Linked DNA regions of Tamandua tetradactyla. The protein of the gene in region 2 interacts with the protein of the main gene of each other region in a biochemical or structural test. Links are inferred from orthologs where the notes say so. Each region holds a gene or a part of one and is shown on either strand. Other genes may lie near its edges.

Region 1 (6,825 bases), on a different chromosome or scaffold from region 2:
TAATGCAAATAACAACAGATGTCATGGGTACTGATATTTGAATTTTCATATAAACAATATCCGTGAAAAAGTACCAACTAAAATACAGAAATTATCTGTTCATCACAGGTAGAATTATATAAGAAAAATATTTTATTGGTTCTGTCATAACTACATAGTAACACAACCCTATCTTCACATCTTTGATTCTTTAACCTGGCCAAGGTCTAAAGTAGAGTTGACCAAAATAACGACTGCAATGTAACCAGCACCAGTTAGAAAAAAAAAAAAGGTATTGATATGCCTGTCAGAAATATGTTATATCCTACTTGTACAAATTAGAAAGAAAAAACTAATGACCTTGTCTACCTACCAGAAAGTATTTAAACTTTATAGTACAACTAAGACTATCTCCCTGGTAAGTGACCTCCAACTATTAATTGTAATTAATGATCCAAAGGCCTGAAAAAGTTATGCATACTATAATTACTAAGCTAAAACTACCACATTTTTTCAGTTTAAAAGAATGTAAGTAAAAGCTTATTTTCAGCCTTTCAAAAAACAGAAAAATTATTTTTAATAATTTATTAAAATTATTCTTGCCTTCCATATAAAACCGAAGCTAATAGTTATTCTTCCTTCAAGGCTTATTATAGGATTCGGCATGACAAGAGTGAGGTAGTGCGAAGTCCCTCACGTTAAGTCCCCGGAGACTTTAAAAACTCAAGAGAGACTGCTTTTTCCACTCCACTAGCCACTTGCTTCAGCAGTTTCCCTCACAGAATGCAGTGGTTTACTAAAATCACCATCAGACATTTATCAAAACGGACTTTCCTTGTGGGAATGTTTTGCAATTTGTACTACCTTCCCAATTCATTTAGCGCTTGCTTATTTAAATACACAAAGCCGTTTCATACTTCATAAATACACATGAATAAAATCGCGTATTATATACAATTAGCGTGCCTCCACAGAAGAAGGGAGAAAAGCTCGAAGGGAAACAACGTAAATAAAAGTTTTATGTTCCACGCGACTCATGGTCTGCCTCACTACATCTCCGAGGTCCTCCGCGCCCCCATCCCTACCAGAAGGTGCAAGGGAAGCGGGATGACACCTTCCTAAAGGAGTTCCCACTTCATCCCAAAGAAACTTAGACAACCACAAGGCACGACTGTTATGAGCTTCCTCCAAAAGCAGCAGCTTTTGTCCAATGCTCTCAATAGAAAGAAAAGTGGTAGATTCCTCAGGAAAATCCTTGAGGCTAGACTGAGAGGCGCAGAAACACAATTCACTGGGGAAGGAGAGAAGTTGGGGAGATGGTGTGCAAATGAAGGAATTGCTACCAAAGAGGGGGAGAGGAACCTGTTGCGGAAGGACCTCGCGTTTATTTGTTCCTGGTCTTTCCAGGGATTCTTGCCCCCAGCTCCCGGGAGAACCAGACCGAATCCCAGTCTCAGTTCGGGGGGTGGGGGGAGTACACAAACCCTGCCCGGCGCTGCCATTACTCTCCAAACAACAAACCGCGACGACAAACGTTTACACCACCCCCTCATTTCCCTCCCCTTTTCCCCACCTCCCCGCCCTCACCGCACACATAAATCCGCGTTCCCTTCGGACCCGGACCGGCAGGCGTGTGCCCGAGAGGCCTGGGCCGCGGGCGGGGAGAGCTGCGGGCGGCGCGGCGCGAGGGGCCGCTCTGCCGCCTCACGCGACTCCCCGGCTTCCCCGACACCGACAAGGCCCCTACGCGGTTTTCCCGAGGAGCCTCTTCCCAAGCGCCTTTGAAGGCAAGAGGGGTCGCGGGACAGTGACACACCACCGCCCACAACAATCCCTCACAAAACCCCGCCGGCGACGACCACCTCGAGGGTCCCTGCACCGGGTGACCCCAGTCCCCGGCAGGGTCCCCCAACCCCAAGCACACAAAGGTCCCCGGGCAACTTTGATATACGTTCGGGGGAGAAGGCGAGTGGCGAAGCCAACACCACCTAACCGCCACCCCGAAAAGACTGCAACCCGGGGTGGGGGTGGGGGTCAGAGGCACAACAATACGGGGTCATCGTAATAGCCATTAATACTCATTAGCAGCCCCTACCCGCACCCACCTCGTACCCCGAGCTGCAGCCCCGACACCCTCGCCCCCGGCGCAACTGGCCGCCCCGGGGCTTCCCCTCCCACGGAAGCCGATTTCTTTTCCCCCACCATTATGCTCTGGCTCCTCGCCGCCGCCGCCGCCGCCGCCGCCGCCGCCGCCTCGCCCGCGCCCTCCCCCACCCCTTCTTCCCCGTCCCCCTCGGCACCGACTCTCCGCGCCCGCCCTCCTTCCCCAACCACCAACCACCTCTCCCCGGGGCCTGGAGCCAGCCGGGCCGCGCTGGGGGAGGCCGCGCGGGGAGCCGGGGGGCGGCGCGGGGTGCGAGGCGCGGGCGCGGGTGGGTGCCGGCGCGGCCCGGGCCGCCGCTCCCGCCGCCCTCTGCTGCCCTGCCTCCCCGGCGCGCCCGGGCTCCGCGGGCCATGGGACTGCTGGAAAAGGATTTGGTAGTTTTGAGAGGCGCCATGTTTATAATCCTCCATCATATAAAACACACACGGGAGACACCAGGCGAGGAAAGATAGAGATGTTCAAGGGCGGCCCGGGACCGGTGTGCGTGTGCATGTGCGTGTGTGTGTGTGAGAAGGGGTGCGTGGCCGGCGGCCCCGGGGAAGAAAGATGCCGGCACGGGTGACGAACGGCGAGGGCTCGCTGCACCGGCCGTGCCCCGCCGGCCTCGGCCCGCAGTCCACCCGCCCGCGCCTTCCCCACTTACCGTCTCTCCTCGCCGATGCTGCGGCGGCGGCGGCGCGGCGGGCCGGTCTGGAACCGCGAGCAGGCGGCGCGGCGCGGGAGCGAGGGAGAGGGGCCGCGCGCGCTTAGTGGAAGAAGTTGGAGGGCGCCGGCAGCCTGCCTGGGGAAAGTTTGCAGTCCCTTCCCGAGGCCGCTGCCTCCCGCTTCACATGTTGGTTGTTGAGTGTGTGGGCTTTTTTTTTTTTTAATCCCCTCCTCTTTTCCCCCTTCTCTTTCTCTTCTCGCCACCCCCCCCACCACACACACACACACACACACACACACACACACACACACACACACACACGCTCACTCCCTCTGCCTCTCTTTTTCTCTCCCCCTCAGAGTTTTATTGTGTCTGATTTTTTTTCCTTCCCTTCCTCTGTCTGTCCACACAGTTCAGGTTTCTGGGGTAAACAGGGTTTCAGATGGAGCGAGGAGGAGTAGGGAGCGTGGGCAAAAGGAGAACTCTAGCGGCAGTGGCCGGACTTGCTTCTTTCTGCTAAAAGGCTTTTTTTTTTTAGTGTACATTCATATTGTACAAATAATATAAATACATTTATTTATATTTAGTCACACCTACGTTCCCTTCCTTCCTTTCTTTGGCGCCTCTGTCCAAAATTTGTTTCAGCATATTCTTATATATCCACAAATGCCATTTTGTAACAATACCTACGTCAAAGATACATACAGGCACGCTTGAGTAAAAGCAGTACACACAAAGATTTAAGCACTCATATCATTGTTAGGCATTGACAGTAAGGGGATGTATGCATCTGTCAGCCAAGATTTGTTTTCATATGGGATGTCCCTGTTATGTAGTTTATATTACATGGAATTACAGAGCCTTTAGGAAACACTGGTTTTTGAAATAAAATTGGTAAATAGTTTTACTATCTTTTTTATCCTATCATCAAAAAGATTGCAGGGATGTACTGAATTTCTCATTCCATAGACACGCAAACATGATTTCAAAATAAAAAGGTCCGCCCGCTATCAATTTGGCAAGAACACAACAAATTTGTGTGAGAAGTAAGGCTATTTTTACACTTTGGGATTCTAGATCTAACCAGAGAAGGTCCCAATACATGGTTTAAAAAAGTCTGGGTGATAAGTATACTTTTATAGATTTCATATATTTTCCTAATGGCCTTTCTCCACTTGGAATTTGGAAGGAAGACCTATCAGTCCAAATTTCTTACTGTGATTCTCATTGGATACATGTACCTGGAAATCCTTGGGATGAGACTATCCCAGAAATTTGGGGATTCGAATCCAGTTGATCCATCTGCTTTCATAACTGGTCTCTAAGACTGAGTTAGAAATTACAGATAGGTTGTCCTTGACTAGGTGGTCTATGGTTTACACCATTGATGACTTTATATTCTGAATGTTGAAGAAGCATAAACTTTAACTGTTCACATCTCTGATACATCCCAGAGAGTTTTTGGTTTTCTTAAGGTACATCACAAAATAGATTCATTTTCCTTTAAGGATAAATATATTCCATTAGAATTCAGCAGAGGGGTTAGATTATATCAGAAAAAAAAAAAAAGCCATACTTGGTTTGAATGCTACACCAGGAATTCCAACAGTGAATAGCTTTAAGTAAATCACCTTAAAAAAAAAAAAGTCTGTTACTTAAGCTGTAAAATAGAGGGACTATATGGTTCTATATATTTCACAGGTATCACTCAAGTGAGATAATGTTATACATGTATAAGTGGAAGCTTACCTTTTAGGAAAAAAGATGCTGCATGACACCACATTTCTACCCAATCATATTTTGTAGACATTATTACCATTTTTATAACCAGACATCTCTCATCTATCGAATATATTTTAGATAACTTATCCCTGAATTTCCTGTTGTTTTTGCCTAGAATTTAACTCTTGACTCTATTTTCTCTTCAGAATAAATTTATTTACCTCATTTGTCCCTCAGCTGAGTGAATATGTGTATATTGTGGGATGGGGGTGGGGGGCAGTGATTCAGAGGTGGGGATTCAGGAGGAGGTCCAGAAGACCAGAATAGTTATTTCCATGCAATCTAAGTTATAACATTATCTACTAAATGGTGAAGAGAGGGAGAGGGTAAAGAAAGAAAAAAAGAGTAGGGACAAGAAATAGTTTGTCTCAACTCAGACATGTTTTAGAGACTTAGCACCACCTAAAGGAAGAATCCCACACCTGGTCCTCTTGATTCCTTCTTCTCAGCTACAACAGTCTATACTCAACTAATACTGGTTTGATCAGGTATCACTTTTTTTCTAGATTCTGCTTTGTGGCATATAATACAAATGGATTATTAGACGTAGGTGGAAATTTTTGCCCTTGAAAAATAAATCAAATTATATACTTACCTTACACTATACGCTTAAAAAAAATTCCTAGTGACTTAAGGAATATAATTGTAAAATCTAGCCATTTTTCAAAAACATTTTCAGTATTATACGCATATTTTGTTTGAGAACATAGTCAGAAATATATGGTGTAAAATAACTATGAAAAAAACATCAAGAATTAGTGAACATAAAATGTTACACTGTGTTATGATAACTAATGTAAACTAGTGACCTATACAGGTCCATTTCAGTGGGACTTGTTTTACATTAATGGGGGCCCAGGAATGCTTGGCATTTTTTTTTCTAATTTAAAGTAATATTAAATTTTCAAATCTAAGAATGTTTTTTCAATAACAAATTATCCTTGTAAGATTGGGAAAAATCATACAAATTAAAAGGTAAACTAGGAGGAGATATCTGCAAAACGTAAGACTCAGGGTAATATTCTTTAAATATATAAAGCTAATTGACATCATAAGATGAGCTCCATCATCTAAAAAGAAAACCAAACCAAACAAACATGGATCATGGATAATAATATAAAAGAACTATAAAATATAAATAAATAATGAAAAATATTCAAATTTACCTGTAATAAAATGATAAATTAAAACAATGTGACACACTTTTCTTCAAATGGCAGAATTTTTGTCAGTGCTAACGCTATTGAGGGTTGGTGAAATGGGCACTCTCTCATAAACAATTGGTATAAAATTGAATGGGTAAGAACTATCTTGAAATACCAAGAGCCTTAAAAATATTCATATCTTTGGCTCAGGAAGTCCTTATTTAAATATCTATCCTAAAGATACATTCTGAAACACAGGCCAAAATATATGGACAAGAGTGCTGATGTTACTTTCCAACTTACAACCCTTCAACGCTTTTTCTACTGCATTTAGGATAAAATCCAAACGCCATTCCTTGACTTATGAAGTCCAGCATCATTTAGCCCCTGCCCATCTCCTGACCTCATCACTCAGTACACCACTGACCTTTTTTCCCATCTCAGGACGTCATATGGTGTTATCCCCTCCTTCAGAAATAGTCTTCCCCCATCTTCCCAGGACTAATGCTCCCCATCCTCCAGTTCTATTCAAGGTATGCTTTTCCTAAAGAACCTTCCTGAACCCCCAATCTAATTTACGTGTTCCCTGTGGGTTTTTTTCCATAAGACAGGATAATTTGTAATGATATATTTACCTTGGTGTTTATAGTCTGACGAGAGGATTTGTTCTCCATGGCGTACTCTGGGAATATAAATATTTCCTTTAACATATATATGGTTAAATGAAAAAGTGCCACAGATAAAATTGATGATCTCATTTGAAAGCAAAGCAGCAAGATTTGAAAGCAAATCTTGACTAAAGACTGATCTTGACTAAAGTCAAGATTTTAGTGTGGTGTTGTTTTACATAACTAAATTATATATATATACATATATATATAATTTATATATATATATAATCTTAATACCAATACCCCCATAGCTCTGTCATTCAGGTATTGCAGTCCTTCTTAACACACATTAATTAAAACTACTTGTTAATTGGATCACCTTATACTTATGCTAGTAATTCAGGGATGGAATGGAGTAAGTTTTCTGTAAATGCAAATTGCCCAAGTACTGACAAGAGTCATGTGATTTTCTCTCTGCCCATGAATAGTGGAAGGAAA
Region 2 (7,553 bases):
TGTTGCCAAAAGTGGCATGCGAATTAACCTTCCTTTAGTCATTTGCTAGACTGACGGGTTCAATAATGACTAACTCCTACTTTGGGTGAAGACTAGGGGTTCAGTTTTCCAGTTTGCAAGATTAAAAAAGTCCAGGCTCTGTGCATTATGTAGTTCATCACATACTGTGGGAGTCACTTTGTGATTCAGAAAAATCACACCATTATAAAATCACATATTTGCACAGGGCTGACTCACCTTTCAGACACATTTATTTAGGGATTATCAGTTTTACAGAACACAGCGGGTCTCTATGTCTATTTTTGTTGTTCAGACTTGCCTAAAGCATGTCATCATGCCGTTTCCTATCACGGTGGATTTTAAAGGTGGTTTGTACACTCCAAGAATGCTGCCTTATAAGGGAGAGGACAGTGCCAGCAGGTGGCTGGCGGAGCTGGTAGGCAGTGCCAGGAAATAGCCACACAACCACGGGCAAGGAATCGATTCTCCATGGGCCTCAGCTTCCTTCTCTGTAAAAACAGGAGCTGGTCTCTGTTATCAACTCTCTAAGGTGTTTTTCCAGTTTTAAAATTCAGTGTTTCCTTCTCTGGTCTCTTACCAGGGAAAGAAAATTATAGTGAAAGAACCATCACCTCCAATATATGCAGAAGAGTCTAAAATAAAGCAGTGTTCAAAGGATGAGTGAAGAGGATGTAGAAAACCGGCCTCCCCAGGGTCAAGGGAGCCATTGCTTGTTTATCACATACTCAGACTGAACTACGTGCCAGGGGTTTTCCTAGGGTGCTTGAAAAATATTAATTCATTTAATCATCATGACAGCCCTAGGAAAAAAGTACTGATATTATCCAAACTTGACAGATGATGAGCCCTTGGGGCAGATGAGGCTGCCAATAGGCAGAAGGCATTCTAGTGGGACCCGAGGAAAAGTTTTGACCTCCAGGATCATCCCGTATTTGCAATTCTGAGGAAGCACAAAGAAAAGAATAAAAGCTTCCTGCTGCTGCCTGGTTTGATACCTCCCTGTTAGGAGGCTGGCAGGCTGCTGGATTCCTGGCATCTGAGCCCTGCCTGCAAATGGGCAAGAATGGAGGGTCAAGTGGCCAGGATAATAGTTGCACATATATTTGGATTATCAAACTTGTCTTTATCAGTTCCTTGACCCCAACATACATCACTCGAATAAACATTATCCCTGAACACCTCCAAGAGCCTGCAGTGTAAATAGTCTACCTAGAAAACACAGGTGCCAGAATACACAGGAATCAAAAGATTTCTATCTCTAAGGGCATTCTTTGCCTCCCCAGCCCCCTACCCCCAGGATTTTTAAAGTTCCATTATTGTGTGTGAATTTTACCACACTTTGTACTTCATTCTAGTCTGTATCTTCACCTCATCAAGGCCAAGGACCAAACCTTATTCATCTTTGCCTGCCCAGCACCCACCACCATGTTTGCAGAATGAATAAATAAAGGATACATCACAGACCAAATGACGTCTGTTTAACTTGCAACTGGAAACCCCCACGAACTGTGCATCAGCTCCACTGATTTGGATTGCAAGGCAAATAATGGACGCGTTACTAAGAAACGTGTTTTTTAAAATTTATCTTCAAGGATGATTTGGTAAACTTTTTCTGCATTTTACATCTTAGGTATAGAGTATACATGCACTTATGCGTTTCTATCATAATATCCCTTTTCCTCTTTTCTTCATGAGCTTCTCTCTATCTTAAGAGAAAAGAATTAGATGGCTTTTAAATTCAGCTTGATCTAAGTGCATCTGATCATTTCACCCCGGGTGCCTTCTGACTTCTAATTTCCTTCTAATACCTTTAACTTTTGATCTTCAGGTGCAAGTGCTGTACATTTATAAGGTTTAATTGACTGCGAAGCCCAGCGTTCCTTGTGAATCCTGCTATAATAGTCAATGAATAACCACAAGGCTTCAACCAGGCAGGGTTTGAGTTCTGCTAAGTAGCCAGGAAACCAGCTGAAAACAGGAAGGAAATATCAGGAACTCCGATATTGCCCCAGAACTAGTATATGCCATTTTATTAAAGGCGTGGAACCGCCCAGGCATAGAGGGACAGTGGCCGGCCCAGGGCAGGGGGGCTGTTTGGATTAGCCCAGGGCTCCTTGGAAGGTGAAGCAAGCCAGGAGAGGGCCCTGGAGGGAGTCGAGACACCAGGCTTGAGGAGGCGCATGAGGGCGCCGTCATCTACCGGCACTCCCCAGGCACACAGCCCAGCTTACACCCCTCCTGCACCTCTTTGAGCCTGCATTTTGTGATCTGTTTCTGACAGATCCTCTGAGATCTGAGAGGGTCCGGATGGTCTGTTTTATGCATAGGACAGGTGTTTTTTCTAAAGGGTTTTTCATAAAATGCTCCCAGAGGGGAGCTTGGAGGAAAAAACAAACTAGCTCTCATGTTGAACTTTTCTCTACCACATACTACAACACTGATAAATTATTTACAGATTCAGCCTAATGTCAACTGCTCACCCCAGCCTCGTGACATAGGTCTCTAACCACTCACTTATTCTATTGAAGAGAGAACTGACCCTAGAGAAGTAAAATAACTGGTTCGAATAGTCATGAGTTAGCAAGCCGAGGAAGGCCATCTCCAAAGTGCTGTGCTGCTTCTCTCCATCTCTCTGCTCAGATGCTGGAAGAACCCAGCACGGACAAAGCACCTCCTCTCAGCTTCTGTCTGTACCAGTGAAAGCTGTCGCCCCAAAAGTCAGTGCACCTCAACAACTTGGAGAAAGCATGAGAATCCCACAGGCACAGAAGTGGGAGCTGCGGGACAAGGTGGCCCACTTTGGGCAATTGGACTTCATGAAACGCTGGCACACCCAGCTTCTCAGACACTAGCTAGGTGTAAGTGAGTAGTCTGGGGTGGGGGGTGGGACCCCTATATTAGTGAAATCACAGCCCTGATGAGTCAGTGTTTTTCTGCTGTACGTTTTTTTTTTTTTTAAGCAATGCACTCTTCACATCTCCATGGCAACTTACCATGGATCTGTATTCCGTTTATGGAACATCTTGACCTTATCTGCTTTCTGATCCAGGCCATCCAGTCAATTCCGTCACCGAAAAATACCGCTCTCCCCTGCTCCCTGTTGTTCCAGGTGTGCAGACTCTGTCTCTGACACAAGCTCTGCTGATACCTGGAAAGATGTCAGTTAGCCAGCTAACCCCAGATCCAGAGCTGTCATGGAAATCAGGGCCGCTGGATAACACAGAGGCTGGGCTATCCTGTTCACCTCCAGCCCAGTCCTTGAGATGCACTTTCAGCCACAGGCCCTTGCCTGAGCTGGCGGGACTTTTCTGTTTCATACACCAGCAGGAATCAGAACTTTCCTCCACAGCATCGGCAATCTGACCTGGAGCCTAAATAGGAAATCCACACATTGCTAGCCATGGACTCGAGTGCCTTCTGATAAAACATGGAAACCAGCAGCATGAGTGGTGGGTTTGACCACAAAGCTTGGGAGTTAGATAAACTCGGGTTTCAACCCTGAATTTCCCATCTGCCTTTTACAACCCAGCTAGGGATTGCCTCCAAGATTAAAGTCCCCCCACAGGTACAGCGGGGATAAGCAACCCCCACAGGCATTTCAACCAGAATGCTCAGTGAGAGTTCAGGGCTTGATTCAGGCACCGCCCAACTCTAGGGGGCGCCACACACACGGGCGCGCTAAGAATGGGGCTCCCCAGGGTTGTGCAGAGAACATCCACTTTCACGACTCAACTAGGTGACCCCCCAAAAACTGAACATTCATAACCTCATTTGGAGACTTTTCATGAGAGAACTGCCAGAAATCCTTCGTCCCGGAACCGGGCCAGCTCAATCTGCGGCCTCTCCATTCGGGCTGAATTCGACTGCCAAGCTAGGAGCTAAAGCCTTGGGACGGCCGGGGAAAACGGATCCCTCCAAGGAAAGACTCTTGGCCTGACATCCCAGGGCGCGCGCGGGGCCGGGGATCCGAGCCCGGGGTCCAGCTCCAGCCCAGACCCTGCGGCACTGGGACAGCGGGCGCCGGAGAGAGGGCGCCGGGAGGAGCCGGGTGCTGGCCTGCGCTGCACTCCGCCTTTCCTCCCCTCCTCCCCTCCTCCTCCGTCTCCTCCTCCCCTGCCTCTCCTCCCTCTTTCCTCTCCCCTCCTCCACGTCGGCTTCCCCTCCTCCTTTCCCCTCCTCTCTCCTCCTCTCCCCGCCTCTCGGTCCCTCCTCTCCGCTCTCCCCTCCCTTTTCCTCCTCCCCTCCCTCTCTCCCCTCCCTCCTCCCTCCGCCCTCCTCCCCTGGCTCCAGAAGAGCGCGCCGCAAGGGCCACAGGCCGGCTACTTCCTCCAGCCGCGACGCGGAGCGCGGTGTAGACTTAGTCCCAGCCCCAACACCCGCTCGCCCACCCCGGCTCGCGCCCCGGCCTCGCCGAGCGCCCCCACCCGCGCGCGCCAGCCGCCCCCGCCGCCGCGGCCCGGATCCGCCGCGCTCGCCCTCGCCCTCGGCCTTCGCCCAGCACCGGGCGCCCATTGCCCAGCGCGCACCCCGGGAGCCCGCAGGCCCGGAGCAGCCGCAGCCGCCGACTGCGCGCCGGCCCTGCCCGAAGCGGCGCGGTAAGAGCGCGGGGTCCCGGGGCTTGGGCCGGGAGGGACCACCTGCGGGGCCGGGGTCCCAGGGCTCGGGCGGCGAGGGGCTGCCTGCGGGGCGGGGGCGCGGGCCGGAGATCCACACCTCCGACCCCCGTGGCCCGAGGTCTGCGGAGAGCCCCCTCCGGCTCGCCGACTCCTCTCGGTGGTAGGGGGGTTTCAGAAACTGGGCGGGGGTCCGTGGGCAACACCGAGGTCTAGATGCCGGGAGAGCCCGGGGTCAAGGTGGGGGTGGCGGCTGCTCCTCGAATTCGAGGTTCGCGCGTCCGAGCTCCGCTGGGGGCCAGTTTTCCGGGTTCCCGGGTGGCCTTCGGAGTGGAGGGGCCGACGGGGGCCTCCGCGGGCCGGGCGGCCGCTTGTTTCATTTCTCCGGGGCTTTGTTTCTTAGCAGGCGACGCGGGCCTGGTGGGGTTTCTTTACGGGGGTTCTTGTCCTGTGGGTGCCCCGCGGGCTTGATTTCGCGCCGGGGCTTGGGGACGCAGGAGGGAGGGTGGCCGCGGTGGCCGCTAGCGCGCCCCGGGTTTCATGATGTCTTACTAGGGCGCCCTATTGTGTGGAGCGGCGCGGGACCCGGAGGGAGGCTCGTATAAGCCCCCTAGCAGGCTACGGCACCCCGAAATCGTGCCGGAGCCCGGGGCCCGGCTTCCTCTGGCCGCCACGACGCCCACCGGTCACCTGCTCGGCCACGTCCAGGGTCCCGGCGGGGGACGGCGGGCGAGGGAGGTGCCAGAGGGAGTTGGGGTGGGGGTGGCGCCCTCCCGTCCTGCTGTTTGGGCGGGACTCCCGAGGGTGCCCCCTGACTTGTGGATCGGGGCGGGGGGTGGGGGTAGGCTCTTGGTCCTCGGGGGGCGAGCTTGGCAGACGGGGTGGGGGTCCTGTTGGAAACGTGGGTGTGGGTGCGCCGGGCTGCCGTGAGGTTCTCTTTCCTGAAGCGTTTTGAATGAAGGGATAGCTGAGCATTTCTGTGTGTGGGTTTGGGATTGGGGGTTAGCTGGTTTGAGGGCACATGAGGCTTTTTATGTGAGACTGTACTACATTTCAGAGTGCTCTAAGATAGTAACTGACCTGCTTCTTTTTTGGAAAGTAAAGAGGTGAGCTGTCCACCTGGGGGGTGGCAGTAATTTATTTTAATGCACCATTAGGAAGATTGTTCCTTACAATGGAAGTCGGTGTGTTGTCTGCCTGCCCACATCACCAGCCATCACCAAGATAAATCTCCAGGTGAAGATTTATTAAAGTTCTGAGTAATCTCACAGTACAGCAACGTGTGTGTCCCCCTCGGGGAAATATTCAAACGCTCATTTCTGGGCTTAGTCATTCCTCTCTCTAAACTGGTGACTTTCGAAAGCGAAAACAGCAAAGGGGCCTTCCATAGTGGGTTACAGATTTGTTTGTTATTTCCCCGCAATTTTACCTTAATACAAGCCTGCGTTCTAATCTTACGTAACTGATCACTTCTCCCAGTGGGGTGCTGTGGTCAGGCCAGTTCTTGTTTTGAATTTTGACCAATTCTAGCCATTCCATTCTGTCCTTATTCCCCCCACCCCACCCCCTTTTCTTTTTGGTTCAAAAGGAGTGATCCATCCAGCAACACCAGAGGGACCTACATTTGAACTTGATTTATGTGGTGAAACTTGTCACGTTGACAAGCCATGTTGAGGAAAATAAATGAACTTAAATTTGATTAGTGATGTGTCTGCCTGAAACCATTTAGTAGAGCACTTTGATTCTGCATGGTTTTTACAAAACTCATTAAAACCTGGACAACAAAAGAATTCGGCTCTGTAGCTAGCAATTACAGCTCTTTATGTGGGAGTGGTGAGCTGCCTTTCGTCCTGGTATTTGTACACAAGAGCCAGGCAGAGCCCTTCCATTGCCTTCCATGGTCTTTGGTCTCTGGGAAGCTGAAACCCGGAGAAGCAAGCCCACATCCTACAGACCAAACCGGGAACAAGAGCTGTCCTCCCGGACCCTGCGTGGGTACCAGGCAGCACCCAGGGGGTTGCCTTTTGCCCTTCTGCCACAGGTAGCACGCGTGATATCATCCAGCCCAGTGACATCAGGCTCTAAAGTTAAAGAGGATTGCAATCTGGGGACAGGTGTGCGCTGTCTCGGAGTGAGGCCGGGGGCGGGCGAAGGGGCTCTTCCTGACACGGGGGAGGCAGCTCAGGACTCAGGGTCACGCACAAATGTGCAGATAAGATTTGGGGTCCTCCCTGCCCCTCGGTGACCCCGGAGTATCTCTGGGATCCGGGACGAGTTCGTGGACGCTGCTGCCTCAAGGCGAGATGGGCTTGCATCTGCCTCTGGCGTGTTGGGGAGGTTTAGGAGGTAGGGACGTGCTTGGCCCTAGCAGGCCGCTGAGTCTGCATTCTGCCAGCGGGCGTCGCCAGCAGCGGGGAACACTGATACTTGAGTCCCTGTGGGTGATAAATTCAACCGAGAAGAGCTTCTGAGCAGAGGAAGTAGACCCAGGAACCCCTCCCCCAAGCCCCACCCAGAGAGCTGTTTATTATCAGTAATCTAATTACCTATAATCCCAGGGTTTTAGCAGCTCTTTCTGAAGCCTCTCGCCTCCTCCCACACTGCCATGTTAGCCTAGGGGTGTGCGTGTGTATGTTGTGTGTGTGTTTGTGTGTGCACCCCGTGGGTGGCGGGGTCTTTGGGAAGTCTGGTTTAACTGCAAATACTGACCATAAAGAGACAACAGGAAAGCACAAACAGAATTAGTTATGTGCAAATATGCAATTTGCTATCTCCAGTAAGTTGAGCAAATTCCACAGTATTTTTATTACTCTGAGCTCTTGGTTGTAACAGGTGGGAGCATACAATGGAGAACACAGGGTAGGGCGAAGGTATGAGGGGTGCCCCGTTTATGGCTTTGGGGTGCCTCCATATGGCTTC

What was found. The genes of interacting proteins can lie anywhere in the genome.
Region 1: the proteins of ETS2 (region 2) and ZMYND11 form a complex in vitro, tested with the Homo sapiens proteins (2 studies listed by BioGRID). The link is inferred for Tamandua tetradactyla from reciprocal best matches to the Homo sapiens genes ETS2 and ZMYND11.

The regions. Positions count from the first base shown.
Region 1 is NC_135327.1:206,533,871-206,540,695, reverse strand, and holds the start of ZMYND11 (zinc finger MYND domain-containing protein 11), read right to left. Parts: upstream 3,025-6,825; 5' UTR 2,787-3,024; intron 2,238-2,786; exon of another isoform or gene 2,182-2,237; intron 1,003-2,181; exon of another isoform or gene 625-1,002; intron 1-624. UniProt on the Homo sapiens protein: Chromatin reader that specifically recognizes and binds histone H3.3 trimethylated at 'Lys-36' (H3.3K36me3) and regulates RNA polymerase II elongation. Does not bind other histone H3 subtypes (H3.1 or H3.2).
Region 2 is NC_135336.1:103,035,259-103,042,811, reverse strand, and holds the start of ETS2 (protein C-ets-2), read left to right. Parts: upstream 1-4,549; 5' UTR 4,550-4,616; intron 4,617-7,553. UniProt on the Homo sapiens protein: Transcription factor activating transcription. Binds specifically the DNA GGAA/T core motif (Ets-binding site or EBS) in gene promoters and stimulates transcription.